Linked DNA regions of Saccharomyces cerevisiae S288C. The gene in region 4 interacts genetically with the main gene of each other region. Each region holds a gene or a part of one and is shown on either strand. Other genes may lie near its edges.

Evidence for each region.
Region 1: mutations in ATG8 (region 4) and SAS4 together harm fitness more than expected from each alone (negative genetic interaction), as found in Saccharomyces cerevisiae (2 studies listed by BioGRID).
Region 2: mutations in ATG8 (region 4) and VBA2 together harm fitness more than expected from each alone (negative genetic interaction), as found in Saccharomyces cerevisiae (2 studies listed by BioGRID).
Region 3: mutations in ATG8 (region 4) and BMT2 together harm fitness more than expected from each alone (negative genetic interaction), as found in Saccharomyces cerevisiae (2 studies listed by BioGRID).

What each region holds. Positions count from the first base shown.
Region 1 is NC_001136.10:823,069-831,358, reverse strand, and holds SAS4 (Sas4p), read left to right. Parts: upstream 1-4,003; coding exon 4,004-5,449; downstream 5,450-8,290. Other genes in the region: ATC1 (Atc1p), read left to right, coding at 1-730; PLP1 (Plp1p), read right to left, coding at 1,082-1,774; YDR182W-A (uncharacterized protein), read right to left, coding at 2,005-2,208; putative lipid phosphatase CDC1, read right to left, coding at 2,302-3,777; cohesin-loading factor complex subunit SCC2, read right to left, coding at 5,583-8,290.
Region 2 is NC_001134.8:782,856-791,165, reverse strand, and holds VBA2 (Vba2p), read right to left. Parts: upstream 4,161-8,310; coding exon 2,736-4,160; downstream 1-2,735. Other genes in the region: SUL1 (sulfate permease), read right to left, coding at 1-1,931; YBR292C (uncharacterized protein), read left to right, coding at 6,093-6,464; CTP1 (Ctp1p), read left to right, coding at 6,594-7,493; BSD2 (Bsd2p), read right to left, coding at 7,610-8,310. UniProt on the Saccharomyces cerevisiae protein: Transporter required for vacuolar uptake of histidine, arginine and lysine and to a lesser extent tyrosine.
Region 3 is NC_001134.8:524,944-533,000, reverse strand, and holds BMT2 (25S rRNA (adenine2142-N1)-methyltransferase), read left to right. Parts: upstream 1-4,962; coding exon 4,963-5,976; downstream 5,977-8,057. Other genes in the region: SUP45 (translation termination factor eRF1), read left to right, coding at 819-2,132; MAK5 (ATP-dependent RNA helicase), read right to left, coding at 2,363-4,684; GTPase-activating protein IRA1, read left to right, coding at 6,373-8,057. UniProt on the Saccharomyces cerevisiae protein: S-adenosyl-L-methionine-dependent methyltransferase that specifically methylates the N(1) position of adenine 2142 in 25S rRNA.
Region 4 is NC_001134.8:76,161-83,655, reverse strand, and holds ATG8 (ubiquitin-like protein ATG8), read left to right. Parts: upstream 1-2,924; coding exon 2,925-3,278; downstream 3,279-7,495. Other genes in the region: isoleucine--tRNA ligase ILS1, read left to right, coding at 1-2,613; NUP170 (Nup170p), read right to left, coding at 3,889-7,495.

The DNA.
Region 1 (8,290 bases), on a different chromosome or scaffold from region 4:
AGTTATGATGGATAATTTAGACTGCACTGATATTTTTGATTCCGACATCGCTTCTCAGAAACACCTAACATTGGAATCTTTATTTAACGATGAACACAACACCGATTCGAGCACACTTTTGGAAATGCAGAGAAGTGCTAATGATAGCCTAGTTGGTATTGATCTCGATAGGCATAAAAAGGGTTATACTGGCAAGGCATCATTAGATAAAAGTACAAACCAAAATAACGTACATAAACCTGATAAAGAACAAAAGAACTATAAGATAGATAAACCCACCATCAAGAAGAAAAAATCCCTTTTGAAAACCACAAATGAACCCATGTTATCCCCTGCATCCCTATCACCTTCATCTTCGTTAGCTTCATCCGACGCTAATGAATCCCACCTAAAAATAGAATCCATGATTACTGATATAACATCTAAAATAGATTCTGCAAGACAAGACATTGTATCTGCAACGAAGCCTGCTAAGTTCACAAATGAGTTTACAATAAGTCAAATTTCGGAAATGAAGGCAAGAATAATTAATACTCATAAATTGCTGCTCAATTTCAATTTTATTAAAGAAGGTTACGCGAGATCTTGTATTCAATTGAAAAAATCTATGGACTCTTTAAAGGATAGTGAAATTCACAGAGCACATTTATTGGTTGAGAATGATGACTTGAAGCAACAAATCCTAGAACTTACTCAAAAACTCAATGAAAAATCATCCAAGGAAAGTTAAATTTAGAGTTAGTTCTGCTAAGTTTATCTGCATTTATTGGTTTTTTTGTCTTTACTACAAAGATGGTCCAATTTTATATACAATATACACTACCTTTCTCAGTCATCGTTATTCGTACTCAACTTTTATTATTTTAAGGAACACAGTCGCATTTTTGAGTTTCATGTATAAACATTACTATACGCATATTTCGTATTTAACTTTCTATAAATCCCCCAAAACGTTTTATTAAATTTTCAACGGTACGCTCGAATAACCGATTTAGTTTGAACAGGAGGAACCATTTTCGCTCATGCGTATGGCTTAAAAGACCATCGAGTCATTTTTAGTAGGGAGGTAATGGTTATTTAGTTATATATCTAAATCACTATCACTTTCACTTCTATCATGATTTGTAGAAGCGAAGCGTTCCGTATTCACAGATGAATGCTTTCTTATTTCGAATGTGTCTTCTATAACACCTGAATGGGCTAAAGATTGCTCTAGCCTCCTAATATCAAACCCATTAGGGTCATTTCCCAGTTTACTAAATCCTACGTAGCGAACTTTTTCTAGGCCATTCTTGTATCCAACTACAAACGGAAGTACTTTAATATTCAGTTTATTAACCAAAAATGGACATGTTTGGACGTTTACTTTAATAAATCTCGTGGTTAGATACCTCTTTGCCAAGTTTTCCAGTTTTTCATTCATATACTGGCACTTACCGAATGTTTCTAATTCAAAATGTATGACCACCATAGTAGTCTTTGTACATATTTGGATAGCATCTGCCTCGTTATCAATGCACTGCAATCTACCGTATCCGTCATCCTCAACATTCTTCTTGACCTGTTTTAAATGATCTGATATTTGTTGTAGCCTCTCCGACCGATAAGCACTCAAAAATTCATGATCCTCGTCTAATTCTCTATCCAATTCATTAAGTAGTTCATCTAAATTTTCCTCGCCACTACTTTTGTCATCGCTATCGACAGTTGTGTGTTTATCCTTTTCAGCATTTGAAAGCACATTTGTGTAGTATCTGTCTAATTTATCTTCCATATTAATTTAATCTTCATATACGTATGAGTTGTTAAGAGAATGGAGTATTTTCGTTAATCTTTTGTACTTCATCCTACTTTCGTGTTTTTTAAACTCTAAAAATTACACTACTATGATCACTATATTGCTATGGAATAATAAAAAGCAAAAACGAAAGATTGAAAGGAAAGTCGTCCTTTTGTATCCATCTTTTAAACAAAGCTTACAAAGAAATTTGCCGTCATGACTTGCTAAATTTGATATAAAACTAAAGGAACCAACAACTTACCTAGGTGTTCTTTTTTGTCCCCGTATAGTGAAGTAATTGGTGTTACGCCCAGTCCTGCAGTTTTAGCTTGGACCACAAAACATAATGCAAATCCAGTAGAGGTTATGCAAACTGTTTGGTGAGCATAGTAATACCACACCCGGTATAATTTATATCTCTTGTTCATTGTCTGTATATAAGGTGTATTCGCATATATTAAATAGCCAGACGTTTCCCTTCAAAGCATTTTGATCCTGGAAGAGAATAGCAGTAATTCTGTCTAGACTACAGTATAAAAATAAATAAAAATGGGCATCACAGAAACAAAAAGGACAATTGCATTAACTAGAAATTGTTTGATCGAACGCGTATCATTCACAGCGTATTTACTATGTGTCAATGATTTTTTGGATTTCGATTTGGAAATACTTGTAGGTAATGGCAAATCTGAGGTGTTACCATCAGGTCGTGTAAATACTCTGTTCATTATGGTTGCTACGCGATTATTAAAAGATTTTGGGAAAAAATGCATGTATGCGATAAAGGCAGCAGAGAATAATAATCCCCATAGGTACATTCTGATTGCCTTATAGGGATCTGGCATATAGCATAGCTCTGTTTGGTAAGTTTTTGATGCATACTCTCCGCCGGCATTTACCATTGTCAAATCTGAAGGATTATATAAGGAGAGCAATTGAATAGCAGGCCTACTGATCCCCATGTTCATTGCACATGACTTTACTGTAATTTCTTGAGCATTTTTAGTTTTCCCCTGAAACGGATATGAGTGTGATATCTGACAATGGTCATGATCATCCCCGGAAAATAATATTTCTGGTTGAATTTTCGTTAAAATTTCTTGTGATATATCGTTTTCTATAACTGTCTGGTACTGGTGCCCTTTCTGAATAGGAAAAGGTTCTTTGGATTCACGTAGCTGACCGCACGTTTGCTGTTCTGGATCCCTCCATAATGGAACGTGAGTTAAAAGAATTCTAGGAAGCGGATGTGAACCCATTGCAAAATTATCCAAAAACTGTCTAGGAACCCTCGAGACATTCGGATTTGTTTTATCAGAAAGCGAAATTGTATCTAAAAGTACAAAGGTATGATTTCCAGCGTCTAATGAGGAGGAAGTTTCTCCAAAGTAACTAGAAAATCTCTGTAAACTCGATTCAACAACTGTGTCTCCAAAACCAATATCGTGATTACCTGGTAAAGACATGACCGTTCTTCTCAGTGGCTTCTTGGGGAATATTTGGTTGAATCGTGTGTACTCTTTAATCCATTGCTTATCATCCCAGTTTCTCCCTCCATCAAATAGATCACCTAGGAAAAAATTGCTATCAGGATCCAAGTAATACTGGACATATTTCCAATTTCTCCTGTGATAATGGTCAACAATCACTCTTGTAAAATAATTAACTATTTGAGGCCTCCCAGGATATGAATATTCGTCCATTATTTGTGGGTCTGCAAATAAACCCACCCTATGACTTTCAGCGCCTTCAGGCCAATCCTCCCAAGTCGACCATTGGCACTTCTTCATTGCTCTCTTCACAACCACTGATTCATAATAAGATATTAATCCTAACCATAAGATCCATACAATAGATATGTATCTCCAGTAGATTCTTAACCTCTTCTTGCTCCTGCTTTTTGATTTCTTTTTCGAACGTGATTTATAGTGGGCCTTATCGTCGCTCTTCTTGCTGTGTGTAGATAAAACGCTCTTTGACCTGTTACGATATACCATACTTCCTAGAGCTTATTGTCTAATGTATCCAACAGATTAGTAGAAGCGGTACTGTTTTCCCTTTCTTTTTGGTTATTGTTGTTTCCATAATCGTTCGTTCTACATTTTTAAAAATAAGAAAATCTAACCCGCGAGTTGATTTCAGCGATCTCAAAACAAAAAGTAGCAAGATTAAAAAGGAAAACCGAAAATTTCTACAGCATTAAAAGCATATGAGAGTTCATCAATGGGTATTTTTCAATCAATAGAAGAAGCAAATAATACTTCTGAGAGATTGCTGAGGTCTGAGATTAAAAATAGTCATGGAGAATTTGAAAAATTCGATTTTGATACAGAAGAATACGAAATTAACCCTAAAAGGAAGTTAAGATTAGTCAGCAGGATAAACCCAAATGCTGGACATCTAAGGAAATCTAAGTCCTGCTTTACTGTAGATGAGCATGTTGACGAAACGCGTTGTCAGAAACCTGTGATGAAGTCGCCGTTCATGAGTAATGTCGATGATGAGATCAAGAAAAAGAGAGAGACAATTACAAAGATGACACTAGAAATTGAACATCATGAATTGAGCCAGAATATTAGAAAACCAACTGATGATTTGCTTCCTGATAGCACGTATCAGCCTTACCACAAGAAAATGTTGAAGCAAGAAAATAGAATGATTCAATCGGACATCGTAAATGGTGAAAATGAAGCAGACAGGCTTTCATTAATTTCAGACAGACTGGGTATGTTGAATTGGGAAGTAACATTACAGAAGGTTACTAAAATAAATGACCCCACTGACGAGAATGAAATGGAGACTAAACGTTACCAAACTAAAGAGCTGATTGATTCAATGTTACATAAATTTGAATCTATGAAAAAAAAAAGCCGCAATTTAGCTAGAAGGCCAGCCTCAAGTGATTCATTGTTGAAATTGGTTAGTGGCAAAGATTGGCCCAAGATATATACTCGAATCGATCGAACTTTTATTCCAGATTACGCAAGCTCCTCTGACGAAGAAGAAGAAAAAATAACCGTTGAGGAAATAAGGGAGAGACGCCTAAAGAAGAGAGAGCAGCAATGCGGTGGTTCCATTATAGTACTGCTGAGCGATCATCAATCACAAAAGGGAATGACACGGTTTGCTATCGTAGCTGAGCCGCTCCGAAAACCGTATTTGATTAAAACCTCCACTAAAGAGAGAAATTCATGGAAAAACAAAGTTCCCACAAATCCAAAAAAATTCAAGAAAGCTCCTCGAATATCAACGCAAATTGCTGTGAAAAGAAGAAGGGAAGTCATCCCGTTAACGATGGAGGTGGAACCAGAAGTCATTCGGGATATAAGGCAAGATACACAAAAGTCTATGAAACTGAATGTTAAAGCGGAGGAAATATCTGTGACAGAGACTGTCAAATCAAAAGAAATGAATGCCTTAAGGAACAATGCTGCATCTATAAGTCCAACTCTTTCAGAGAAGGCACCTTTAGGTTCAATTTCATCTTGCACTGCATCTCAGATTTCACAAAGGTCTTCTGAGAATGTGGGTGCTATTATTAACAATATCAACCCAAACTTAGCAATAGTGCCCTCTTGTAACGAAAAGACCTTTGTAAAAACACACAATGGAATGAAAACTAACTCAGGTATTAATATTTTGCCTGTCCGCAAGAAAAAAAAGGTTTAGTTTGAACTAATATAATGCGATGGTGTAAATGAAATTCAATATTTCATAGTTGCTTCTCAAAACCTGCGTGAAAAATCAGCATGGAAAATGCAAAATGATTATTAATACTATGTATATTTTAAGTGCAATATATTTACGTATCCTTCACGTGTTTTCTAAAATATGTAAGAAGCTTGCCATTTGATGAATACTGTTCAATATTCTCCAACTGTGCGGAAAACTTACTGATATCCGGCTTCTTTGCAGGGAGTTGTTTGTTCTTCAATTCTGATTCTTCTACAATATCTAATAAAAGCACATCATCCCTTAACCCGTATAAGTGCAGTAGATAAGTACCCAAATCCTGTAAGCTTAACTGTATTAAAATTATTCCACTGAGCTTTTCTTCTGATACGGATAGCGATGAAACATTGTCACCTATTTCATCCATGATAACCTCTTTTAATCTATCTGTAGTTAAATCAATGGTTTTGAGTAGGGACACCAAATCGTACTGAGAAACAAATGTGATATTCGAAATGTTAGTGCAGAGAACGAAAATGGACTTTTGAACACTACTATTTGTTGATGTTAAATCGGTGATATCATCTAAATAGGATTGCATGATTCTCTTCAGAACTTTAAAGAACTTTGGGCCATTTTTTTTTCCAGTTCCACATAATTTTTCAAGTAAAGACAAAAAATGATCGTGCTTGTAATAATACTTCTCATCTGTATGAATAGAATAATGTATAGCTTTTGTAACCCCTCGAGATAAACTACTGAATACTAGCGTTTCGTATTTCTCAAAAAGATCTTCTAACAACTCATAGGCGACATGACGAATATACTGGCTAGTAGAGGCAAATAAAGCAATTACAGTTGGAATTGAATGAGAGGGATTTGTGTAACCAAATTTCAAAATCAACTTTAATAATCGAATAGCTACGAGAGAATTCTTTAGATCACGTAGGAGACATAGTTGGAGAATATTGTCTAAAAATCTAGTAGCCAACGCTGAACATACTCCATCATTTGCAAACTCTACCCTATTCGTTTTCAGTAATTTCTTTTTCAAAATGGAGTTCGAAGACAAAGTGCTATTAACGCCAGTGTTTCTCACTGACTTCCTTTCTTCCAGTAGAAAAAGATCATATAAACTTTCTAGAATTACTAGTTTAATATCTAGCTGATCGCTCTGAAATTCTTTGTCCAGTAAATGTAGAACGTGTCTTGAATTGAATAGTTTTGGATGATTTCCACATAATTTAGTGAGATTTTTCACAGCAACCCTTCTTATTACGTGTGTAATTTTGTCTTTAGATAGTACAAGTAGGCATTTGGTAATATGTTCATACAGGGTTTCACCTTCTTGTAAAAATGCAATTTTATCATTGGAGGGTTTAGGAAAGCAGAACCTGGCAAAACCGGTGGATAAATATATCAGCCTTTGCAATTTTCCGTCAACTACAATGGCAGCTTCCTCGTTATTTGCCTTATTTATATATGGATGTAAATGGGAAAGACAGGATGAACATGCTTTAGCTACTCTAGCAGTATCATGACGATGAGTGGCAACAGACCAGATAAGAGGCATAGCTTCATCTATCTCTCTTACATTCATCTTTGGTAGCCTACTCAAAAGGGTCGTCTCTAAGTCATACAAAAATTTCTGTTTAAAGTTGGCCAATTTTTCAAAAGTGCATCTAAAGACTTGCAAGATATAATAGTGGAAGTCAGATTTTTCGTCCGATACCATATAAGGATACAATGCTGTAATGTGGTCTTTAGTCAAAAATGACACAGTAGAATCAGCAAACTTCGCCAAAAGGTTTAAAAAATTTTGTTTATCAACAATCGAATTCTTTTCATTTGTGTCATCTGAGTTGAGCTCGACAATTTTTTGTACCAAAAAGTCGGTAAGAATGGTTAGAACGTGAGTGATTTTATCGTATGCTTCTTTTGAATGCGCTTCTTTGTTTAGGAGATAAAAGTTGAGAAACAAGTCGAAAAGTTGGGAGCATTTCTCATTCATTATAGCCACACGGGACATTACTAGTAGGACTGAAGAAGAAATTTCTTTCAACTTTTCGGGCTGGTCCAATACTTCATGTACCTTTAATATCCATCTATTTAATAAAATCAGCCTAGCCATATCAATTATATTGTCCTCCTCGTCTTCTATTTTCATTAGGATTCTTGCTATTACGTATACCTTCGTGACGATGTCGTTCGTCTCGTCGTACATTTTTTCATTAATTCTTAACACATGTTTTCTTACCATTATGCTATCATCGTTATAGTTGTTGTTAATTTGTTGATAAAATTCGAAGTATGAAGAATTAATACTGACCAAATCTAGAATGGCATCCTTGACAGATGCAGATGAGTCGTTTAAACGCCGGTGAATAGTTTCTTTAACCATTGGGTTTGAAAGTATCACTTTGTCTTTTGAAGCCAACATCGAGAGACATTTAATAGCAGTCGATCTCAGTTTGATTTTATCCTTGGCTAGAAGTGATAATATCAACTTCAAGTATGGATCGTATAGATTCAGTAGTTCAAAGGCGTGCAAAATAGAAAAATAATCCAATTTAATCGTACTAAAATCTGCTTCTCTGTTCTCTAATTCGGGTCCAAGTCCACCATCTTTTATCTGCTCCAATATTTTTTTCAATTCATTGTCAACGGTTATAATTTGTTCTTTGGCATCCTTTGTATACTCTTCTAATATCAAGATCGTACCGAGCCTTAAATTCCAAAGGAATCTTGTTGCAGAACGACGGCATTTGATCGTTTCATTATATGCAATGCATTCTTCAAATGATTTAAAAAAATGCGGCAAAGTTTCGGGGTAATTAA
Region 2 (8,310 bases), 710 kb from region 4:
CGATAGACTATGACACCTGGTGGAGGAGGCCGAACTGTGGTATTGATATTCAATTCTCTTGAGTATCCATGATCGAACGGAACCCACTTTACGCTAAACTTATACTCTGGGGCTGGTAAAACCTCAACAGTAGACTTAACCTGTTTATTCAGTTCATTAGGTAATTCATTAGATGATATCACAGCATCAATATCCTCTTGTACTGTTGGGTTCAATACTTCTGCCACCTCAACACGACCAAGGAATTTACCAGCAGGGAAAGCCTGTTTCAATAGTAACATTGCACATGACCAACACATTGCAAAATATATACCATTTTCAATGGATGAAAATACTGTGATGAACACTGTAACGATAAATGAGATACAATCTAACGGGTTGGTCTTCCAGAAGGTCCAGGTGGTTTTGTAAGAAGTCAGCAAATCAGAAACAGCATGAATAATAACCGCCGATAGTGTCGCTTTAGGAATGAAAAAGAAGGCGTCAGTTAAACAATAAAGTGCTAATAGAACGCAACCGCCAGTGAATACCCCAGAAAACGGAGTGCGCACGTTACATTTTGCTTTCAAAGCAGATCTGGAAAATGACCCAGTTGCTGGATATGAGTGAAAAAATGTCCCTATCAAATTTGTCACACCAATCGCAATAAGTTCTTGGTCAGGGACAACCTTGTAGTCGTTAATTCTACCAAAGGATTTTGAAATAGCGATGTGTTCTAACACCAGAACGATAATTGAAGCAGGTATTTCTGAACTCATATTAGATAGCAGACCGTCTGGGATTTTCATAACTCCCACCTCATTTAAGCCCGAGGGAACTGTACCCAGAATACTGATTGGACGGTCTTTTGAAGATTTGTTTCTTGTTATGCTCCACGATATGGCAGTAAAAACTACTATGACGACGGCATTTCTCATAGCTTGTGCATAGAAATAGAAGGATTTCAGTCTATTTGCTACCTTTGGTTGATTTCGATAATATCTATCTGCCAAAGTTATACCAAATGTACCACACCACCATTTCCATACATAGAGGATTACCAACGGAATCAAGCCAAAAACGGCGTCTAACTTTGTGTTTGGTAAATGTTTCAGAGTGTTAATTACAACCTTATACGTTGCTTCTCTGGTATTCACTAATGAGTTGTATCCCATGAGAGCCGGAATTTGACCCCAGATGATGTTAAATGCGGAACCGGTCATGAAGCCAGCAACAGCATTTAGAGAAATAAGTTCCACTAAAAAGCCTAAACGCAGTATACCCAACCCAGTGGCGACAATCCCACAAAGCAAACAAAGGGTAGTTGCAATGATAGGAGCTGTAACTTCTGTCTGGTCTTCGGGATATTTTTTTAGAACTTCAGCAATGACTTTGGCAGTTTGTAGTGACATTACAGCGACCGGACCAATACAAACATCTTTCGATGTGGCAAACAAAGAATATATAAACGCACCAATAAAGGAGGAATACAAACCATATTCAGGAGATAAACTAGCGATTTGTGCGTATGACATAGATTGGGGCACGAGTACGCAGCCAACTGTAATTCCTGCCACTAAATCAGCATAGCCCCACGTAAAGTTATAATGAGGAAACCATTTTATAATAGGAAAAAGAGATACGAGGTAACTTCCTGCCGATTTCGCAGTTAGATTGTTTTTGATAGAATGATCATAGTACTCCTTCAAAGTGACTGTGCTCTCTTCATACGCTGGAATGGAATCGTACAGGACATCTGATAGCTCATTTTTCGTTACCCCAAATTTCTGCTTACTACTATTAACCTTCCAATTTTCCTCATCACCATTGTGAAGTCCGTCTCTGTTTTCTGCCGCCTCAGATTCCCTATATGTGCGGTATTCTGATTCAAATACTTCGATATCAGCATCCTCCTGATTATGCACATATTCAGTCGAGCTCTTACGTGACATATTCTTTCCGAGTATTCTGCAGGGATTTATTTTTATTTTTAAAGCTATTGACCTGGTTTTGAGACGTTAATGTCAGCTAATATACTTTTATATAATCGGTTTCACAATTTTAAATCGAAAATTTTTCTACAATAGAAATATTAAGTTTGAGCAGTACAAGATCCATGTGCATTACAACACATTTTACTTCACTATTTATATTATTCTTTTGGTCTTTGTTTCTTTTTTTCACAGTGCATAATTTCAAATGACAGTGTTCGAGAAAAGACATGAACAGGTAGAAGTGTTCAAAATTATTATGGGTCTAATTTGACAACTTGTTCGTTATCGCTTGCTGCGTGGGGAAGGTGTGGAGTTTTTCTGGGATCTGTGACTCAAATTCCGATTTGCAAAATTGCAAAGCCGCACTGTGGTTCCAGCGAGACTATAAGAAAAAGTCAGATTTGGACAATTACACGAGATCTTTATTAAAAAAAGTGCACTCGAGGTGGCGGTAACACAAAAAAGTGGGGGGACTTTACAGCAAGTTTTCTGAAGCCTTTTTTCATTGGTTTGTGACTATTTTAGGTTATCACAGCCACATCTTATTCACAGATTATGAAAGTAGTATGTATTTAGTTAAAGTTTACAGAGGATAAAAAAACTATAGAGATAGTTGCATTCGCTCACAGTTCAGCACTGTCGGTCAATTAGAAACGTTGCAATTCCACGAAATACAAAAAAAGTTTAGTGTCAAGTAGAATATCTAGTTTCAATACTGTTAATGTATCAATTGAGTCGGTCAAGGGCATAGGTATATATTGTTTATCTTCTTGTTTTAGGTTTCGCCAGATTGTCTTTAAGGATGCAGAGTATCAGGGCCAATGAAGAGAGTAATGTAGACATTAGATGAGCCCTCTTTGTTGCCTCATCAAAACTCTTTATGACTGTGTTTTTAACTTCGCCATGTAAAGATCCAATATATGAGGAGTTTGCACTAAGCTGAACAATAAGTTTCTTTATCTTGTTTTCATCCAGTAGACCTTTCAAATTACTACGCAATAAACCTGCGAAAGATAATTGAATGACGCCAGCTGAAATTGCAACACCCCATACAGATCCAATACTACGGAATAAATATAAAGTTGATGTCGCAGTAGCTTGGTCACTCTTAGAGAACATAAATATGAAAGTAAACAAGGTCGTAGGAAAAGTGATACCTTGTCCTAGATTTGCAGGTATCAAAAATAGACCAATCAACCAGTTCGGAGAAGTTTTTTCAATAAACAGGAATAAAAAGTTACCCAAAAACATCAAAGAAATACCAATGTAGAGTAATAATCTTAGACAGTTGTACTTGCTCATGGAAAATCCTGTTATGAGACTGCCTACCGGAGTAAATAGGGAAGGAATCGTAAGACGTAATCCTGCTTTTGCAGTGGAATCTCCAAGTACAATCTGAAAGAATAATGGTAAAGTAAAAAGATACGCGTAGCTGGCAAAACCAACAAGTATACTTATCGAAAGTACAACGACACTGTAGGAGGAATTGACCAGCTCCATAGGAATAATCGCTCTAGCACTTGTTTTCCTTTCGTGCAATATGAACAGTAAGAGGATTATTACACTCCCAACTAATAGCAGTAGCACAGAAGGGCTGGTCCATGATAATTTAGAAGTAGAACACCCCAGGCTCAGGTAAAGAAGCTGTAGTGTGAGACCAGTTATAATAAGAATTGAGCCCATAACATCTATGTCCCTGAGTATTTTTCCGGGATTTTGGAATATGCTAGAATTTTGACGATTATATTCTTTCTGATTAGGTACATAATAATTCATTAATATGGAACTAATCACAGATATGGGTACTTGGATGAGAAAACACCACCTCCAACCAATGCTCGACGCTATTGTGCCACCGAAAGACGCTCCACATATGGCACCAAATCCCAAAAGTAAATTCTGAAACGCTTGAAAAATTCCTCTTTTCGAACTTGGAATAACGTCTGAATTTACGATTGTAGAAAGTGTGATCAAGCCACCACCTCCTATGCCTGTCAATGCTCTCATAAAACTAAGCATGTAGATGTTTTTCGAGAAACCACAGGCTAGACATCCAATGGTAAAAGCCCCATTAGCAAAGAAAAGGCAGTTTCTTCGACCAAGTGCATCAGAAAATGACCCATAAAGAGGTTGAAAAGATGTTGATGTAATTAAATACGCAGTGGTGATCCAATTTGAAATACTCATCTGATTAAATTCGTTACCAATCGTTTGGTACGTCGAAGCTGTAACGGTTCCGTCAAAACCGGACAAAAAGACATTAGAAAAAAGAGTAGCTTCAATAATCCATCAATTTGGGATTCTTGAAAGCGCTATATCTTCGCCTTTGTCCAAGTCCTCATCTAAGTCTTCACTGTAGTCGACAGAAGGAATTTCAGTCTCTTCAATACTGCCATAGTTTCCATCCTTGCTTTTCGGTAGTACTTTGTGTTTACTAGATTTAAGCATTGCGAAAAAAAATCTGATTTGGAATTAATGTTTCATTTACTACATTTTAAAGCATTTTGTACCATTCAGAGGCAAGAATTGGCCAATACTGTGTGTTCTTATAACGATAACTAGTATATATATTCTCGAAATTGTATATTTCTGTGGATTTGCACACAATCATCTAATAGCAAATTAGGAAGAAAGCCACACATGCACATATATCGCATCACTTACCGAGCCTTAGAATGTGGTTGCCACACATTAGGACATGTTACCCCCCGCACCTAGCAGAAATATAGTATTAATCTATCAGTGCTCAACACAATGTGATATCAGTACAATTCTTCATGCCATGGTACGTCGTCTCTATTTTCTTTTATATTCTGTTTATTATATCATGTTCTAAAAATGTCATATATACAATTCTGAAAAGGTTTTTGACCCTTACGTAACGCTATTCGGTCAACTACTTGTGAGACATATATTGTTCAAATATGTAAATGAAGAAAAGTACGCCTATTACTAGGATCCACAATACCGTAAAGCCTGTTAAACAAGGAGGAACAATATATATATCATAATTTTTTTAGAAAGAAAAGCCAAAGAAACAGCATTTGCAGGCACAAATCCGTGATAATAATGCATAGAACAATATGTGAAACCCCACAAGGTTACTGGTCGGATGATGAGCGAGCCCAGAGAAACCAACAGACCTCTGTAAACATCACTATGCCTTATCACCACACTTTACCATAATGCATTGAAAGTGCAATTGGAGAAGCCACCAATAGACGAGCTATGATGATATATTTAGCGTCCCTTAAAATATCGACTTATACAGTGGATAACATTTCCGCTCGCATTCCTCGAAGAGCATTATTTCCAAACTACTGTTGAAAAAAAAAAAATACGAAGACGACGCTTACCTGAGCACCCAGGATGTACACTTCGCCACAAATTTTGAGAGGCCTTTTGTTGTGATATTAGTTGAAATATATAACCACTTAATCAGGCAAAAAGACAGCAGTCACTATTTCAAGTTGGTAAAAAAATCCTGTTTTCGCTAATTGTCGATTTGGCCTTTCACCTGGACTTGAAAGCTTCAATTACGGCCTGATACATTCATTCTTTATACTGACCTTTGCCCAATTTATTATCCAGAACTATAGCCATTAGGTTGCAGGCCACTGGGACCACCACTGACTGGAAAATATTCTATTGACGAATTTTCCGCAACTCATCGCTGATTAGTTTATGAACTTATCCCGTCGGAATGAGAAAGTTACATATGCAGGAATTCTCTACAAGCAGCAATAACATGCTTTTATTTTACTGTCGTATTGTAATTGCTTATTCGGTTCCAAACATGTCAGCTATGCCAATATTTTAGAAGAGTGGGAAAAAAAAGAGATGTTATAGACGAACGACAAAAGTTGTGAAAAACTCGAATGGAGTAATGGAGCAAGAAACAAGAATCTGTCATAGTCAATACGTGATTTTGATATGCTTTCAAGCTTCTGAGAACTTCATTCATTACACTCCACCACATATACTATACAACGAATAGCCCAGTCGAAGAGGTTATGATTGTGTTCATTTATTTTTTTACATGACAGAGTCTCCCTATTGATACTAAGCTTGCTGCAATAACTCTTCTTACTAAGAGGTAACTTACATCTTGACTTTTTAATGAAGTTCCCAGCCGATTACCATTATACGTCGCCGTTTCGTTCATGTAAATATTCAAATATACTACACTTTATATCTTTGCTTCTTATATTTTCGCGCGTAGGTTTGCCTAATTACATTTTTATATTCCTCATCAATAAAGCCGCCAACAAAGAGCACAGGGTAGAAACTCTGCTGTCTGGGAACTCGGCTAACGCTTGTAAGCTATTTAATATTCTCAAATCATTTCAACACCTCTTTTTTTTTTTTCAAATATGTACTATTTTCTCTATTTCCATTAAGTTAGTCTTACTGAAGAGTCAAGAATATGGAAGAATTCCTGCGGAATTTTCAATTATTAGAAGTGAAAAAAAAAAAAAAGAAGAACAATGAAATTTAGTCTCACTTTAGCGTGATATATAAAACGTAAAATGTCGAAGCCAACGTAAAATTAAAAACATTTTGATGTCACAATGAAAGAACTCCAAAGTAGAGCTTGAATTATAAATTAGCATTTTACCGATGTCCAGTAAAGCTACCAAAAGTGACGTAGATCCATTGCACTCGTTTCTGGCAGGGTCCCTAGCCGGTGCTGCTGAAGCATGTATAACATATCCTTTTGAGTTTGCCAAAACAAGGCTGCAGCTGATTGATAAGGCCTCCAAGGCATCAAGAAATCCTCTGGTATTGATATATAAAACTGCAAAAACTCAGGGCATTGGTTCCATTTATGTCGGATGTCCCGCATTTATTATTGGAAACACCGCTAAGGCGGGTATTAGATTTCTTGGCTTTGATACCATTAAAGACATGCTAAGAGATAGTGAAACTGGAGAACTAAGTGGTACAAGAGGGGTGATAGCTGGGTTAGGTGCGGGACTATTAGAAAGTGTTGCCGCAGTGACTCCTTTTGAAGCAATCAAAACTGCTTTGATCGATGATAAACAATCTGCTACACCAAAATACCATAATAATGGGCGCGGTGTAGTACGAAACTATTCATCATTAGTCCGTGATAAAGGATTTTCTGGTCTTTATCGTGGTGTTTTGCCAGTTTCCATGAGACAGGCCGCAAACCAAGCCGTTAGATTGGGTTGTTACAATAAGATTAAGACCTTGATCCAAGATTATACGGATTCGCCAAAAGACAAACCTTTATCATCCGGGTTAACCTTCTTAGTGGGTGCATTTAGTGGTATTGTGACGGTCTATTCCACCATGCCCCTTGATACTGTGAAAACAAGAATGCAAAGTTTGGATTCCACCAAATACTCCTCTACAATGAATTGTTTTGCAACCATTTTCAAAGAAGAAGGGTTAAAGACGTTTTGGAAAGGTGCTACGCCTAGACTTGGGAGATTGGTCTTGAGTGGTGGTATTGTTTTCACTATCTATGAAAAGGTCTTAGTTATGCTAGCCTGAAATGTATTATTGTGTACAATATATCATCTAATGTTTTCTACTCGTTATAAGTCTATTTACCAGCCGATCACTTAAAAAAGTTATATATCTCTTTTTATCATAATGAAGAAGATGGCTTATGCTTGATTTTGACTTTGGTTGAGGTATTTCTTTTCCAATTTTTTGACTTGAATGTAGTCGTATATACTCTTCAGGGTGATAAATAGCCCAAGAAATGCCACAAAAACAGCCAACCATGGTATGTTTTGTTTTTCTTCATCCAGACCGTGATTCAAATGTGATTCAAATTTATCTTGTGTCGTTGATTGTGAATTTAGACGAACATCATCGAATTCATTTGGATCCTCTAATTCCATTCTATTTAAGCTTTTATTTTTGCCGACTTTTGAAGTAACATCATTGGGAATCATTGAATAACCATATCCAATGAACGTTAACCCTAATCCAAACCTTGAACCTTGCTTTGCTGCGTGAGATGTGTGTAAAATGTAGGTTATTAAAAATCCAATGAACTGAAAACTCGTGCTTACGATGATATTCCATAATAAATTTGCTATATTTCCTACAGGAAGCCCCTCAATGCATATTTCGTCGTAGTAGATATCTGAATTGTTCAAATCCATTCCATAATACGAGGGGGCCATATCAGCAGCAGCTTCGTCGTATGTAGGTGGTATGTCTTGTTCGTTATTACCTTCAGTCTCTGTGGTATCTGGTTTTGCGCTTAAATTGCTAAAGACACCATCAAACATGGCACCTTGTTGTATATCCGAAGACTGTTGTGTACGTTTCTTAAAAAGTCTATCAAGAATATTAA
Region 3 (8,057 bases), 450 kb from region 4:
ATTTACATAAATAGCTGAAGTTATTCATGGAAAATACGAAGAGCACGTATGTGAGCCAACAGAACATTTGACGTAAGACTCTACAATGTGCCAAGAACTGGACAAGTAGAGGACTGAGAACTTTATTTCAATTCATTGCTCCTTTTTGGTGGCGCTACCTTTAGCGAAGGTCAATGATGAATGTGCACATGCTGTCGAAACCAAAAAGCAAATTCTAACCAACTTCAAAATGACATAGTCATCTGATATTTCTACTCATTATAGATAGTATGGGAGCCTTGAAACGAAAAGTAAGTAAAAAGCTGGATATGAGCAGTATGAGGTAGACCTTAGCTACATCATTTCCCCCAATAGCTGCTGCAAATATCTGGTTAAATTTGTGATTCCATGAAGAGGATAACAGACTTGTTAAAAAGCATCCTGTCAAAATCTAATTTTTGAAGGGCAGTATTCAATTCATAATTTACTTTAGCTTAGATCCTTCCAATTTATACATGGTATTATAACCAGATCATAAACTACAATCTGTCGCTACCGCATGTACGAAGAATACTTAAGTCACTTGCTCTCTCATCATTTGTACATTTTTCAGTAATACCGTTTGATAGCGCCGTCTTTATTACCCGGATTATTCCGTTGACCCTGAATGAAAAATTTTTTCAGAAATCCAGTGCTAAGCGTCAAATCAATGAAATACATCACTGTATTTTTAACTGATATACTGTTGGTGTGGCCTTAACGACACCTTTATTTCTTAATTCATTTCGGCTTGTCTCCTTATTAAGACTACAGAAATAGACAAAGGAAATACTTCAATAATGGATAACGAGGTTGAAAAAAATATTGAGATCTGGAAGGTCAAGAAGTTGGTCCAATCTTTAGAAAAAGCTAGAGGTAATGGTACTTCTATGATTTCCTTAGTTATTCCTCCTAAGGGTCAAATTCCACTGTACCAAAAAATGTTAACAGATGAATATGGTACTGCCTCGAATATTAAATCTAGGGTTAATCGTCTTTCCGTTTTATCTGCTATCACTTCCACCCAACAAAAGTTGAAGCTATATAATACTTTGCCCAAGAACGGTTTAGTTTTATATTGTGGTGATATCATCACTGAAGATGGTAAAGAAAAAAAGGTCACTTTTGACATCGAACCTTACAAACCTATCAACACATCCTTATATTTGTGTGATAACAAATTTCATACAGAAGTTCTTTCGGAATTGCTTCAAGCTGACGACAAGTTCGGTTTTATAGTCATGGACGGTCAAGGTACTTTGTTTGGTTCTGTGTCCGGTAATACGAGAACTGTTTTACATAAATTTACTGTCGATCTGCCAAAAAAGCATGGTAGAGGTGGTCAATCTGCGCTTCGTTTTGCTCGTTTAAGAGAAGAAAAAAGACATAATTATGTGAGAAAGGTCGCCGAAGTTGCTGTTCAAAATTTTATTACTAATGACAAAGTCAATGTTAAGGGTTTAATTTTAGCTGGTTCTGCTGACTTTAAGACCGATTTGGCTAAATCTGAATTATTCGATCCAAGACTAGCATGTAAGGTTATTTCCATCGTGGATGTTTCTTATGGTGGTGAAAACGGTTTCAACCAGGCTATCGAACTTTCTGCCGAAGCGTTGGCCAATGTCAAGTATGTTCAAGAAAAGAAATTATTGGAGGCATATTTTGACGAAATTTCCCAGGACACTGGTAAATTCTGTTATGGTATAGATGATACTTTAAAGGCATTGGATTTAGGTGCAGTCGAAAAATTAATTGTTTTCGAAAATTTGGAAACTATCAGATATACATTTAAAGATGCCGAGGATAATGAGGTTATAAAATTCGCTGAACCAGAAGCCAAGGACAAGTCGTTTGCTATTGACAAAGCTACCGGCCAAGAAATGGACGTTGTCTCCGAAGAACCTTTAATTGAATGGCTAGCAGCTAACTACAAAAACTTCGGTGCTACCTTGGAATTCATCACAGACAAATCTTCAGAAGGTGCCCAATTTGTCACAGGTTTTGGTGGTATTGGTGCCATGCTGCGTTACAAAGTTAATTTTGAACAACTAGTTGATGAATCTGAGGATGAATATTATGACGAAGATGAAGGATCCGACTATGATTTCATTTAAATAAATAAAAGGGGGAGAAAAAAATCGAATCAAAAAGAATTTAATCACTAGATGCCAGATTTAAATTAAATTCGCTTTTAATTTTTTGTACAATATAATATATACTTGGTAAACCTTTTGCTCTATATTGAGCTAATTCCTTTGTTGAAAGTACATAGTGGGTTTAGAGGACCGTGTATATTACGTAGAAAATACAGTGAAAGGAGAGTTTCTCTTCAAAAGCCTCGAGATTAATTATTTCTCTTTTTCTTTTTCTTCAAAGTTTCTAAGGCGTTTGTCTTTTCATGACCAATGATAGAATTATGACCTCTTTTTTTGACCAAGTTATCAGCTAAATTCACTAGCCCACCTGTCAAATATTTCTGTCTTCTATCTTTACGTATAGGCACTGATAACAATTCGTTCAACGTAGCTCTCATGGCTTTTACCTTGTCCTTATTTATAGTCTTCTGCATTTTTTTATTTTTATTTTTTAGTAAGAAAGTGTCCGAATTACTCTTTGATATATCGTCTTCGTCGGAATCAACGTCAATACCTAATTCATCAGCAGCCTTTTTTAACCAATTGTCATCTTTTCTTAGGGAATTAGAAGCAATTTCATGATCAGCCAGTTCGCCTGCTAATCTACTTCTTTCTCTGAGTTGTGAAAGTATATCGGTTTCAATTGGTAACAAAGGCACAGTGTTTTGCCACTTGATGGGTTTTCTGTTAGTTGATCTAGAGTTCAAATCCGTCGAAACACTATTTTTTGTAGCGAGAGTTTTTCTTAACTTTCTTAATGGGCCCATAGATTCTTGAGGTGAGCATATCATGGCAGAGACACCTTCAGAACCTGCTCTTGCAGTTCTGCCTGATCTATGAATATAAATATCAGTAGATCTTGGTAAGTGGTAATGAATAACGTGTTGAACACCCGGAATATCTAAACCTCTAGCAGCAACATCACTTGCAATCAATACTGTTGAGAGTTGAACGGAATCCGGATTCGAATGATTTATTGTTTTCTGTTTAGCGCTTTGTTGCTTGAACCTTTCTAAGCTTTTCAAACGGTTCTTTTGTGTCATGGAAGAATGAATTTGAAAAGCTGGGATGCCTAGGTTATTTAAGTATACGGTCAATTTCTTCACGGAGTCAATGGCATTACAAAAGATCAAAGTTGTACCTGGGAACATGGTTAAAAAGTAATAGCAGTATAGGTCACGTTCTAATGGAGGACATTCAATTAAGGATTCTTTGATTTGAGAGCTCACTTTTGACTCAGGATTTGTATCTATTATAACCGGCTTTGAGTTGAAGTGAATTTTGCTCATTAAGTGTTGTATTACGGCATTTAGCTCATCTTCGTTGTTTTTAAACCTTCTATCCTTAACTTGACGGGAAGAAGATAGCTTATCAAACAAGTCGATGGAGAATGTTGCAGAAAAGATCAAAGTTTGCCAAATTTTGCTACTGCCCTCGGAGTTTTCTCTGTTTTTCCTTCTTTCTACTAATAAATGTTTAATGATTTTTTCGAACTCGTCGAAATGACCGTCTTGTAACAGCCTATCAGCCTCATCAAGGATTAGCGTATTTACTTTCGAGAATCTTTTGATTAAAGTGTTGTCTTTTTCCAACAGTTCCAAAAATCTACCTGGTGTTGCGATGACAATTTGGCCACTATTATCGTACTTTAATAGACGTTGTTGTTTTTGGATAGAGAGTCCACCTGTCAAAGATAATATCGAGTACTGAGATTTCGCTAGAACAGGCTCACAGATCTTTTTTAAGTGGTCTGTGACTTGATGCGCCAGTTCTCTTGTAGGAGTAAAGATTAACGATATTGGTTTCTTGTTTTTCTGAGAGAAGTTACTGATCAGTTTCTCTACAATTGGAATACCATAGGCTAAAGTTTTACCTGAACCTGTAGAGGCTTTCCCCATGACGTCTACGCCTTGCATAATAACTGGAATAGACTTTTTTTGAATTTCTGTAGGTCTGAGAAAATTTAAATTCTGCAAGCTCTGCAAAATAGTCATTGAGAGAGGTGCAAGATTCGTCCATTCAGGTAAATTTACAGGAGAAATATCATCGATATTAATGTCTTTGTTAAAGACGTTTTCTTTCAAAACATCCTCATCCACATCCTCATCCACATCCTCACTGGGATCGGTTAACTTTGAACTCTCAATATTACCTTGCTCATCCTCGTCGGATGATGAATAAGATGCTGCACTCAACTCTCCTTCTTTAATATCGTCCAAGTTCTTGAATTCAAGGAGCTCGGACTCCGAATCTGACCCTGATTCATTTTCCACAGATTCCTGATCATCTCCGACTTTTTCCTTATTGCTATCTTTTAACACTTTTGAATCTTTTTTGGTGACGAAAGTTACTTTACCATCCACGACTTTAACGTCCACTCCGTCAATTTCTTCCAAGCCATAAAATCCACCAAAGTCATCTAAAGTGTCCGGAATATCTACTGGTTTCCAGTTCAATTTGGATTCATCTACAATTATCTCCTGTGGCTTTGTGACCGTTTTTCCTTTTTGAGGAGCCCTTTTCTTACCCATGATGGAAAAACTGATTATGCCGGTATTTGACTAAAGAATTTCTACCTGAGGTTATGATGATAATGATGGGCAGGTTGGCGAATATAACTTTTTTAGATGGAAATTCTTATAAGCTCATCGCTGGAAAAGTTTTTCAGAGAAAAAGAAAAGTACGGACTAACTAACCTTGAGGCGGGTTTGTGAGGTGAAAAAAAATATAACAATTATAATATCGATGAGCTAGCCATGACCTTGATGGCAATCTTGTATCAGCTTAGCGATACCACTAATACAGCGGAATGCATTCAAGAAAGTCGAAGAGTATTACGGGCAAGAGGAAGCAAGTAGGAAGTAACGTGACGAGAGTAATCAAGCCACAGAAGACAAGAAGGATAATAAGAAGATTCCACCATTTAATTAATAAGCGTCAATCGATATGCAAGTTTTTATGCCTTAAGGAAAACCTAGATGATTCCAACGAGGAGAAGAATGACAAAATTATCAGGTTAAGTATTAAAGGTAATGTAAGACTGGGCAAGTACTATGAAGACGGCAAATCGCAGTCCTTCAATGATGCTATGGAATCACAACTACTGAGGCTGCACTCATTAATTAAAAATGAATCCAAATCAAAGGATACTTCTGACTTGGCTGTGATGTACACATTACTTGGTTACATAATGAATCAGATTAATAAATTGGGAGGACTAGAAACTTACCAAATTGCCAGTCAAAACGGGCAATTGAAGGAACGAGGAGGAGACACGTCCAAGTTGCTCGAGAAATGGATCAGGTCCTCATTTGAAAATTGTCCTGGAGCAGTGGCATTAGAAATTGGTTCATTGAGCTCCGGAAATCGCATATCCCGTTGTGCACTTTTTAGAAATGTGGTTCGTATAGATTTAGAGGAACATGAAGGCGTTATTAAGCAGGATTTTATGGAAAGACCGCTACCGAGAAATGAAAACGACAAATTCGACCTGATATCATGCTCTCTAGTGCTAAATTTTGTCAAAAATCACAGGGATCGCGGTGCAATGTGCCATCGCATGGTCAAATTTCTCAAGCCGCAAGGCTACATCTTTATTGTTCTGCCACAAGCCTGTGTGACGCACTCAAGATACTGCGACAAAACACTGTTACAAAACCTCCTCGGCTCTATCGGGCTCATAATGCTTAATAGCCATCAAAGTAATAAGTTGTACTATTGTTTGTATCAATTGCAGGTAGTTCCACCGCAGCCGAGTAGCTTTTCCAAAAGAATCAAGGTTAACGACGGCCCTGGGTTGAACAATTTTGGTATTACCCTCTAAGCGAGCCGACACCGCCTGGAAGTTTTTCATAAAGGGATACAATATAGAAAGATGTGTAAAAACGTTAAGTAAAAGATGAGCAAATGAACAGTGTTCGAAGGAGAATAACAAGAGTTACTGCTCATATAAAACTAATATACTAAAGGTTTTCGCTTTGTATTACGATTGAAACAATTAACTGTTTTTTTTTTTTCCGCTTATTACACAGTACCGGTTTCATTTACGCCTTTGATCATTTTATTGGCATTGGGCTCATAGTAGTTTTCAGCGCGTGGTTAAGCTATTTAACGAAAGCGTATAAAGTCAAGTGATCATCTTTTGCCCTGCAAATAGAGCTTCAAACTTAACATTCTTCTTCAGCATATAACATACAACAAGATTAAGGCTCTTTCTAAAATGAATCAAAGCGATCCGCAAGACAAAAAAAATTTCCCAATGGAATACTCTTTGACCAAGCATCTTTTTTTTGATAGGCTTCTACTTGTTCTTCCCATAGAATCTAATTTGAAAACATATGCTGATGTGGAGGCAGATTCAGTTTTCAATTCGTGTCGGTCCATCATTTTGAATATAGCCATCACTAAGGACTTGAACCCGATTATCGAAAACACATTAGGTTTAATTGACTTGATTGTGCAAGATGAAGAAATTACGTCTGACAATATTACAGATGATATTGCCCATTCTATATTGGTTCTTTTGAGATTACTGAGTGATGTTTTTGAGTATTACTGGGATCAAAACAATGACTTCAAGAAAATTAGAAACGATAATTACAAACCGGGATTTTCAAGTCACAGGCCAAACTTCCATACATCTAGGCCAAAGCACACGAGAATCAATCCAGCTTTGGCGACGATGTTACTATGTAAAATTTCTAAGCTGAAGTTCAATACAAGAACTTTAAAGGTTTTACAGAACATGTCTCACCATCTTTCTGGCAGCGCTACTATCTCAAAATCGAGTATTTTACCCGATTCACAGGAATTTTTACAAAAGAGAAACTATCCAGCATATACCGAGAAAATAGATTTAACAATAGATTATATCCAGAGATTCATATCTGCTTCCAATCATGTTGAATTCACAAAGTGTGTCAAAACAAAAGTTGTTGCACCTTTATTGATATCACACACCTCAACCGAATTGGGCGTAGTAAACCACTTGGATTTATTTGGTTGTGAGTATTTGACTGATAAGAATCTGCTAGCATATCTGGACATACTACAACACCTGTCAAGTTACATGAAGAGGACCATTTTTCATTCGCTTTTGTTATATTATGCTTCCAAAGCTTTTTTATTTTGGATAATGGCAAGGCCAAAAGAATACGTCAAAATTTATAACAATCTAATATCATCAGATTATAATAGTCCGTCTTCTTCATCTGATAATGGTGGTTCGAATAATTCTGATAAAACGTCTATATCCCAACTAGTCTCACTGTTATTCGATGACGTTTATTCCACTTTTAGTGTATCATCATTATTAACAAATGTCAATAATGACCACCACTACCATCTTCATCATTCATCTTCTTCATCAAAGACGACCAACACTAATAGTCCAAACTCTATATCAAAAACGTCGATAAAGCAGTCGAGTGTGAATGCTTCTGGCAATGTTTCTCCGTCTCAGTTTTCTACTGGGAATGATGCATCGCCTACTTCCCCTATGGCATCATTGAGTTCACCCTTAAACACGAACATCCTAGGGTATCCGTTATCTCCAATCACTTCAACACTAGGACAGGCGAATACTTCCACATCGACTACGGCTGCAACTACCAAAACAGATGCAGATACGCCCTCTACTATGAATACTAACAACAATAATAACAATAACAACAGCGCTAATCTTAATAATATTCCACAACGCATATTTTCCTTAGATGACATTTCATCCTTTAACTCGAGTAGAAAATCACTCAATCTAGATGATAGTAACTCCTTGTTTCTTTGGGATACTTCTCAGCATTCTAATGCATCGATGACAAATACAAATATGCATGCAGGAGTTAATAATTCTCAGTCTCAGAACGATCAGTCTTCTTTAAACTATATGGAAAATATTATGGAGCT
Region 4 (7,495 bases):
CCAGCTGTGACCATTGGTTTCAATGTTATTGGCCAGGAAAAAACTCAATTGGTCGCATGGACTACGACTCCATGGACTTTACCTTCCAATTTGTCGTTATGTGTTAACGCTGATTTCGAATATGTAAAGATTTACGACGAAACCAGAGATCGTTATTTCATCTTATTAGAATCTTTGATTAAAACCTTGTATAAGAAGCCTAAGAATGAAAAATATAAGATTGTGGAAAAAATTAAAGGTTCTGATTTGGTTGGTTTGAAGTATGAACCATTGTTCCCATATTTCGCTGAACAGTTCCATGAAACAGCTTTTAGAGTTATTTCAGATGATTATGTTACTAGTGATTCCGGTACTGGTATTGTTCATAACGCTCCCGCTTTCGGTGAAGAGGATAATGCTGCTTGTTTGAAGAACGGCGTCATATCCGAAGATTCAGTGTTACCTAACGCCATTGATGACCTTGGTAGATTCACGAAAGACGTTCCTGATTTTGAGGGTGTTTATGTCAAGGACGCTGATAAGTTGATTATTAAGTACTTAACTAATACTGGAAATTTGTTATTGGCATCCCAAATTCGCCATTCCTATCCATTCTGTTGGAGATCCGATACCCCATTGTTATACCGTTCTGTTCCAGCTTGGTTCGTTCGTGTTAAAAACATTGTCCCTCAAATGTTGGATTCTGTGATGAAATCTCACTGGGTTCCTAACACCATCAAGGAAAAGAGGTTCGCCAACTGGATCGCCAATGCCCGTGACTGGAACGTTTCCAGAAATAGATATTGGGGTACTCCAATTCCTTTATGGGTTTCAGACGATTTTGAGGAGGTCGTCTGTGTTGGTTCTATCAAAGAATTGGAAGAATTGACCGGTGTGCGTAACATCACTGACTTGCATCGTGATGTCATTGACAAATTGACAATTCCATCCAAGCAAGGTAAGGGTGACTTAAAGAGAATTGAAGAAGTTTTTGATTGTTGGTTTGAATCTGGTTCTATGCCTTATGCTTCTCAACATTATCCATTTGAAAACACAGAAAAATTTGACGAAAGAGTTCCAGCTAATTTCATCTCTGAAGGTTTGGATCAAACAAGAGGTTGGTTCTACACGTTAGCTGTCTTAGGTACCCATCTATTTGGCTCTGTTCCATACAAGAACGTCATCGTCTCTGGTATTGTCTTAGCTGCCGATGGTAGAAAGATGTCTAAATCCTTGAAAAATTACCCTGATCCATCCATTGTTCTGAACAAATATGGTGCGGATGCATTAAGATTGTACTTGATAAACTCACCTGTTTTAAAAGCTGAAAGTTTGAAATTCAAAGAAGAGGGTGTTAAGGAGGTTGTTTCAAAGGTCTTACTACCATGGTGGAACTCCTTTAAATTTTTGGACGGTCAAATTGCCTTGTTGAAAAAGATGTCTAACATCGACTTCCAATATGATGATTCTGTGAAAAGTGATAATGTCATGGACAGATGGATTTTAGCTTCTATGCAATCTCTAGTACAATTCATTCACGAAGAAATGGGTCAGTACAAATTATACACTGTCGTTCCAAAACTTTTGAATTTCATTGATGAATTGACAAACTGGTATATTAGATTTAATCGTCGTCGTTTGAAGGGTGAAAACGGTGTTGAGGACTGTTTGAAAGCATTAAATTCTTTATTCGATGCCTTATTCACATTTGTCCGTGCCATGGCTCCATTCACCCCATTTTTGTCAGAAAGCATTTATTTGAGACTGAAGGAATACATCCCAGAAGCTGTCTTAGCAAAATACGGTAAGGACGGAAGATCAGTCCATTTCTTATCTTACCCAGTGGTCAAGAAAGAATACTTTGACGAGGCCATCGAAACTGCAGTTTCTAGAATGCAATCCGTTATCGATTTGGGTAGAAACATTCGTGAAAAGAAAACTATTTCCTTAAAAACTCCATTGAAGACTTTGGTCATCCTTCACAGTGATGAATCATACTTGAAGGATGTAGAAGCCTTGAAAAACTACATTATCGAGGAATTAAATGTTCGTGATGTTGTTATCACCTCCGATGAGGCAAAATATGGTGTTGAGTATAAAGCAGTTGCTGATTGGCCTGTATTGGGTAAGAAGTTGAAAAAAGACGCAAAGAAGGTTAAAGATGCCCTACCATCAGTCACTTCTGAGCAAGTACGGGAATATTTGGAAAGCGGAAAGTTGGAGGTTGCCGGTATTGAACTGGTTAAAGGAGATTTGAATGCTATTAGAGGCTTGCCAGAATCTGCTGTCCAAGCTGGACAAGAAACCAGAACCGACCAAGACGTGTTAATCATCATGGATACAAATATTTACTCTGAACTAAAGAGTGAAGGTCTCGCAAGAGAGCTGGTCAACAGAATCCAAAAATTGAGAAAGAAGTGTGGTTTGGAAGCCACCGACGATGTTTTAGTGGAGTACGAATTAGTTAAAGATACTATCGACTTTGAAGCCATTGTCAAAGAACATTTTGATATGTTAAGCAAGACCTGTAGATCCGACATTGCCAAATATGACGGCTCAAAGACAGACCCAATTGGTGATGAAGAACAATCTATTAATGACACCATTTTCAAATTAAAAGTGTTCAAATTATGAAAACAACTCATATAAATACGTACAAATTTTTCTCTACTCGAAGTGATATAGATGTATATGTGTAAGTTTACGTTTAAGTTAGAGTCATGTAATGCTAACTGTCTCCACCGATAATGTTGTATAATACCCGTGAAATCATAGCACATGATATATCATCACCCGGAGGCCGGTTATTTTCGGCGGCGGCAAAAATATTTGGTATAATTATGGAAATACAAAAAGGGGAACCATTAAAGGTTGAGGAGGGGATTGATAAGAGAATCTAATAATTGTAAAGTTGAGAAAATCATAATAAAATAATTACTAGAGACATGAAGTCTACATTTAAGTCTGAATATCCATTTGAAAAAAGGAAGGCGGAGTCGGAGAGGATTGCTGACAGGTTCAAGAATAGGATACCTGTGATTTGCGAAAAAGCTGAAAAGTCAGATATTCCAGAGATTGATAAGCGTAAATATCTAGTTCCTGCTGACCTTACCGTAGGGCAATTTGTTTATGTTATAAGAAAGAGAATTATGCTACCCCCTGAGAAGGCCATCTTCATTTTTGTCAATGATACTTTGCCACCTACTGCGGCGTTGATGTCTGCCATATATCAAGAACACAAGGATAAGGACGGGTTTTTGTATGTCACTTACTCAGGAGAAAATACATTTGGCAGGTAGTCTTTTATATGAAAAGAAATGAAGCGTTAACATCTAAAATCGAAATTATAGGGACTCATTAGCCATCTATTGTTCCAGTATAAGAATGTTTACATAAAAAATTCGAAAAAAAAAGATAAAATAAGGGAAAAATATATATATATTCATTAAGAAGTTTTGTACACAACGGAGCCAAGATTTCACCAGTATTTGGAGACAAATGTGAGCACGTTATGGTATTTACTTACAGATTACGATCTGTTCAATGCATCAGAAATAGGAAGAAATTCAAAATAAAATAAAAAAAATATTAGGAAGGAGTGAAAAAGCAAATAAGATGATACAGTAAGGTGGAGTTAATGTCTTTCTTCTCCAAAATGTATTCTTGCTAACCAAAAATCTGATTCTCTCTGACCTGTTCGTTTGTCTTATGTATGTAGAATCAATTTCTTACAGAATTTTAAATACTGTATAGTGGAAAAGAATAATAAATAAATACTCGACTATATTTACCTTTATCTTAAGGAAAAGTTCACTCGATATTCTTAACTTTACCGTCTAGTAAGGCCTCTTTATTACATTAAAATATACACGTACATTACCCTGCTATCTATATGTCGAACATGAATTTTTATTCTTTGTAGAAACAAATCCCCAAATTATTGCCGCTGTTCTTAACGTACTTTTCAATTGGATCATTATCAATTTTGTATTCCTTCAAGTGAATGATATCGTTGTAGGAAATAATGTCCCTAAATTTCCTGTCCGATTTGTACCATTCGTGAATTAACCAGGTCATTTCTTTATTAAATACGGAATTATCGGAATCTGATGTCTCGATTAGTTCTTTTAAAATATAGTACATTTTGTTGAAAGAAACACCCGCTGTTATGAATATAGAAACTATCGACCCTGATACAATATGTTCCTTAGGTAGTGTTTCGTAGAAAAAATTACAGACAATGGGAAAGAGTTCGAAAATGGGGAAAATGAATTCAGAATCCTGAACATTTTTACCAATTTTAATCAGTACATTAGACAGTAAGTTGATGAAGTTCATTGAATCTTCTTTCTTTCCGGTATTATTAAATTCCATCCTCAAAGATTGGAATAGCTCATCCCACTTGGCCATAATTACTTCATGGTCCCTAAAATCTGCTATCTTGAAAATGAATAGGGCAATTTCATGGTAACTTAAGGGTACAGCAAAATCATTAAACAGCTCACTTGTGCTCAATATTTTACCATCTAGAGTTTTGATCAGCTCATCTTTAATGGCTGAATCTATTCTTGCGTCTGTATACACGAGCGACAATATATCACCTTGAATACCAGCAACTTCACATGCATCTTGGATCCTACTAGCTAATTGTACAATTCTTTGTTTCTGGCTTAATGGTGACACACTGTTGCAAAAACCATTGGCGCGTGAAAGAAACTCAATTCTTTCAAACAATGTGATGTCAAAATTCGATGTAGCTAAACGGTAAAGAATTTCAGCAGATTCGAAAAATTTAGATCTTCTTGAATAATAGACCCAGAGTATATTAGATATCTTCAATGAACTACCTGCCTTTTCCATTAAATAAGGGAGTATGAATGGAGTTTCAATATCTAATAGTTTTTCCTCTCTGTTCTGAGACACAAGCCAATCATACATATGATAGTGGAATAATCTATCGTTATATTTTAGGGCGGCTTCATAACTTTTTTGTCTCAGTTTCACTTCATCGTCATTCGATATCGAAATTTGGTTTTGAGTTTTTGATGACTGTTTTTTTTCGGCAAGTTCGTCTACTTTTATTAAAGTATCAAAAACTAGGTCATAAACTAAGATACGTTTGTCGTAATATTGTTTCCTATCATCATTTTCTAAAAATCCATTTGCCACATATTGACAAGCTAGTTTGCCTTTGTCCATAGAGTTGGCAATATTCAATAAGAATTCAATAGATTTTGGGTAATAATTTACACTCAGCATCATTGATACAGCTTCTTTCAATTTCTCGATAGAAAGATCATCCACAATTTGTTCAAGTAAAGCAGTAGCATTTTTCAGGTGATAGTTTAGAGAATCATAGTTACGCAAGCCAATTTCTTTAGCCCTTCTAAGATGTTCAATGGCTCTAAATCCTAATATATCACTTGCAGAGCAGAATGATCCACAGCGTTCTTGTAAAGCTGTTGCGGTATACTCTATCGACGCACCTTTGGTGATATTCCTATTGATGATGGATAATAAAATTTCTCTAATTAATGATTTTGTTTTGTCATTTGGAGCAAATAAATCTTTAAAATCTAGTTTGACTAAATCTTTTTGGACGTCCAAGCTTACAAAACTGATTATATCCTTGAAACCAAGGTATTGGTTGTCGAATCCTTCGACTTCGCTTTCCTCGTATAAAACGTTCAAGAATGATAGACCTTCCTTTATGGACTGTACCATTTTGATCATCGCATTAATCGCTATACTTTCCGCTTGGTTTGCAACTTCTTCTGTTTTATCAATAACCCTGCCGTTAGAATTGTTCGCTAATACGTAGGGAGCTGATATTTGGGAAATTGAATCACCATAAGTGATGAAAAATTCATTTAAAATGTTAATTGAAGATAGATAGTACTCGATACAATCCTTGGAAATAGAAACCTTTGATATTATGTTCCTATTTTGTGAAATTTCATCACTTTTTAGGTTATTAATAGATGGAGTGATTGGATCAGAAGAAGAAATGAAAGCATGGGATGTCACCCTATTATCTGTAAAAGTCATGAAGACATGTCTCCCCCAAATATCTCGAAGTAGTCTGGTAATCAATAATGCAATACCGTAAAATCTGGGGGATAATATTACGTCATCTAAGTCAAAATCTTCCTTGTTTGCAGGGGAGGGTTTACTAAAGCCAGTTATTGATTGTTGGAGATTAGTTGTTGCGGTTGATAAAGTGGGCTTTGACAATAAAGAGGATACTGTAGATACAGAATAACGGTTGTAGACAGGTTTGATGTCAACAACGCCAGGAATACCCATAGTTAAAAAAGTCAGGGCATTAGATCTTAATTTTTCAGATTTATTTGATTTGCAAGTAACAAACAATGCAGTGGAACAAGCTTCCGCGGCACCATAATTTAAGACGAATGGCAGCGGATTATCGATTAGATCCTCAAAAATTTCATCAGGAGTACGATATTTATAAATTTCGATAGAAGTGCTCGTCAAAACTGCTACCCTTAAAGTTTCTGATGTGTACTGTGTCGCAAATTCGTTAGCAAATCCTTGTGGCTTTGTCGTTGCATTAAACAACCCCGATAAGGGAATAATTTGTTGAACTGGGCCCGCAGTTTCCAAAAACGTGGCATTTTCAACGTACTTACCGTGTGTTTTCAAGATACCATAATCTGGAACACTAACGAAAAGCTTATGTTGTAAAGTAACTGGCTGTTGTTTGACAGTTTTAGACCCTGCGGTAGCGGTCGTTCCAGTAACAGATGAGTTCTCTTTTTTTTCTTGTTGATGAGTTTGCTGAGATGACTTGATCACAGCGGAAAAAAATATGCCTGGGGAAATAATTGTACTTGCTTTTGTAGTCTCTAGTAATACAGATGATTTCTTTTGGAATTTTAAGAGGACTGGTTCGGAAGACATTAGATTTGAAAAGAAAGGAAAGCTTCTCTTCGCCTGTTCCTGTTGTTGATGTAGTAATTCTTGTTGGATGACTTCAGGAGTTACAGAACTAGGGGGGAACTTGATCGATTCTAACCTCAAAGCTTCGATGTTAAATCTGCCCATGGAACCATTAAAGTACAAACGCACACCACCTACTGTTAAAGCAACTAAAAACAAATTGTTGTTTTCTTCTGGTGCAACAGAGCTTATCTTGACAATTTTTAGGTATTTGGGGCCCAAAATCGGTGCTGCCCTTGCCGTCGTGGTACCTATGATCCTACTGATGTAGGCAGGCTCAATTGACATGGGTCCTTCCAGTGATTTTTCTGTTATTACGTATGCTCTAATGGTGGATTTGGAGGATAATGAATAGATGATTCCTCTTTGTTGGTCAATAGTTAGTTGCGTGATGGTCTCTTGAGAAAATCCGCCATTACCGTTAGAATTATCTTCGAACAAAGCCTGAATAAAATCAACACCTGGAATCTGCGATAACATGTTAGTAGGTAGAAGACTTAATAGGGCAGACTTTGTCAGACAGACCTTACTACATTTACTATTGAACCAGTCATCG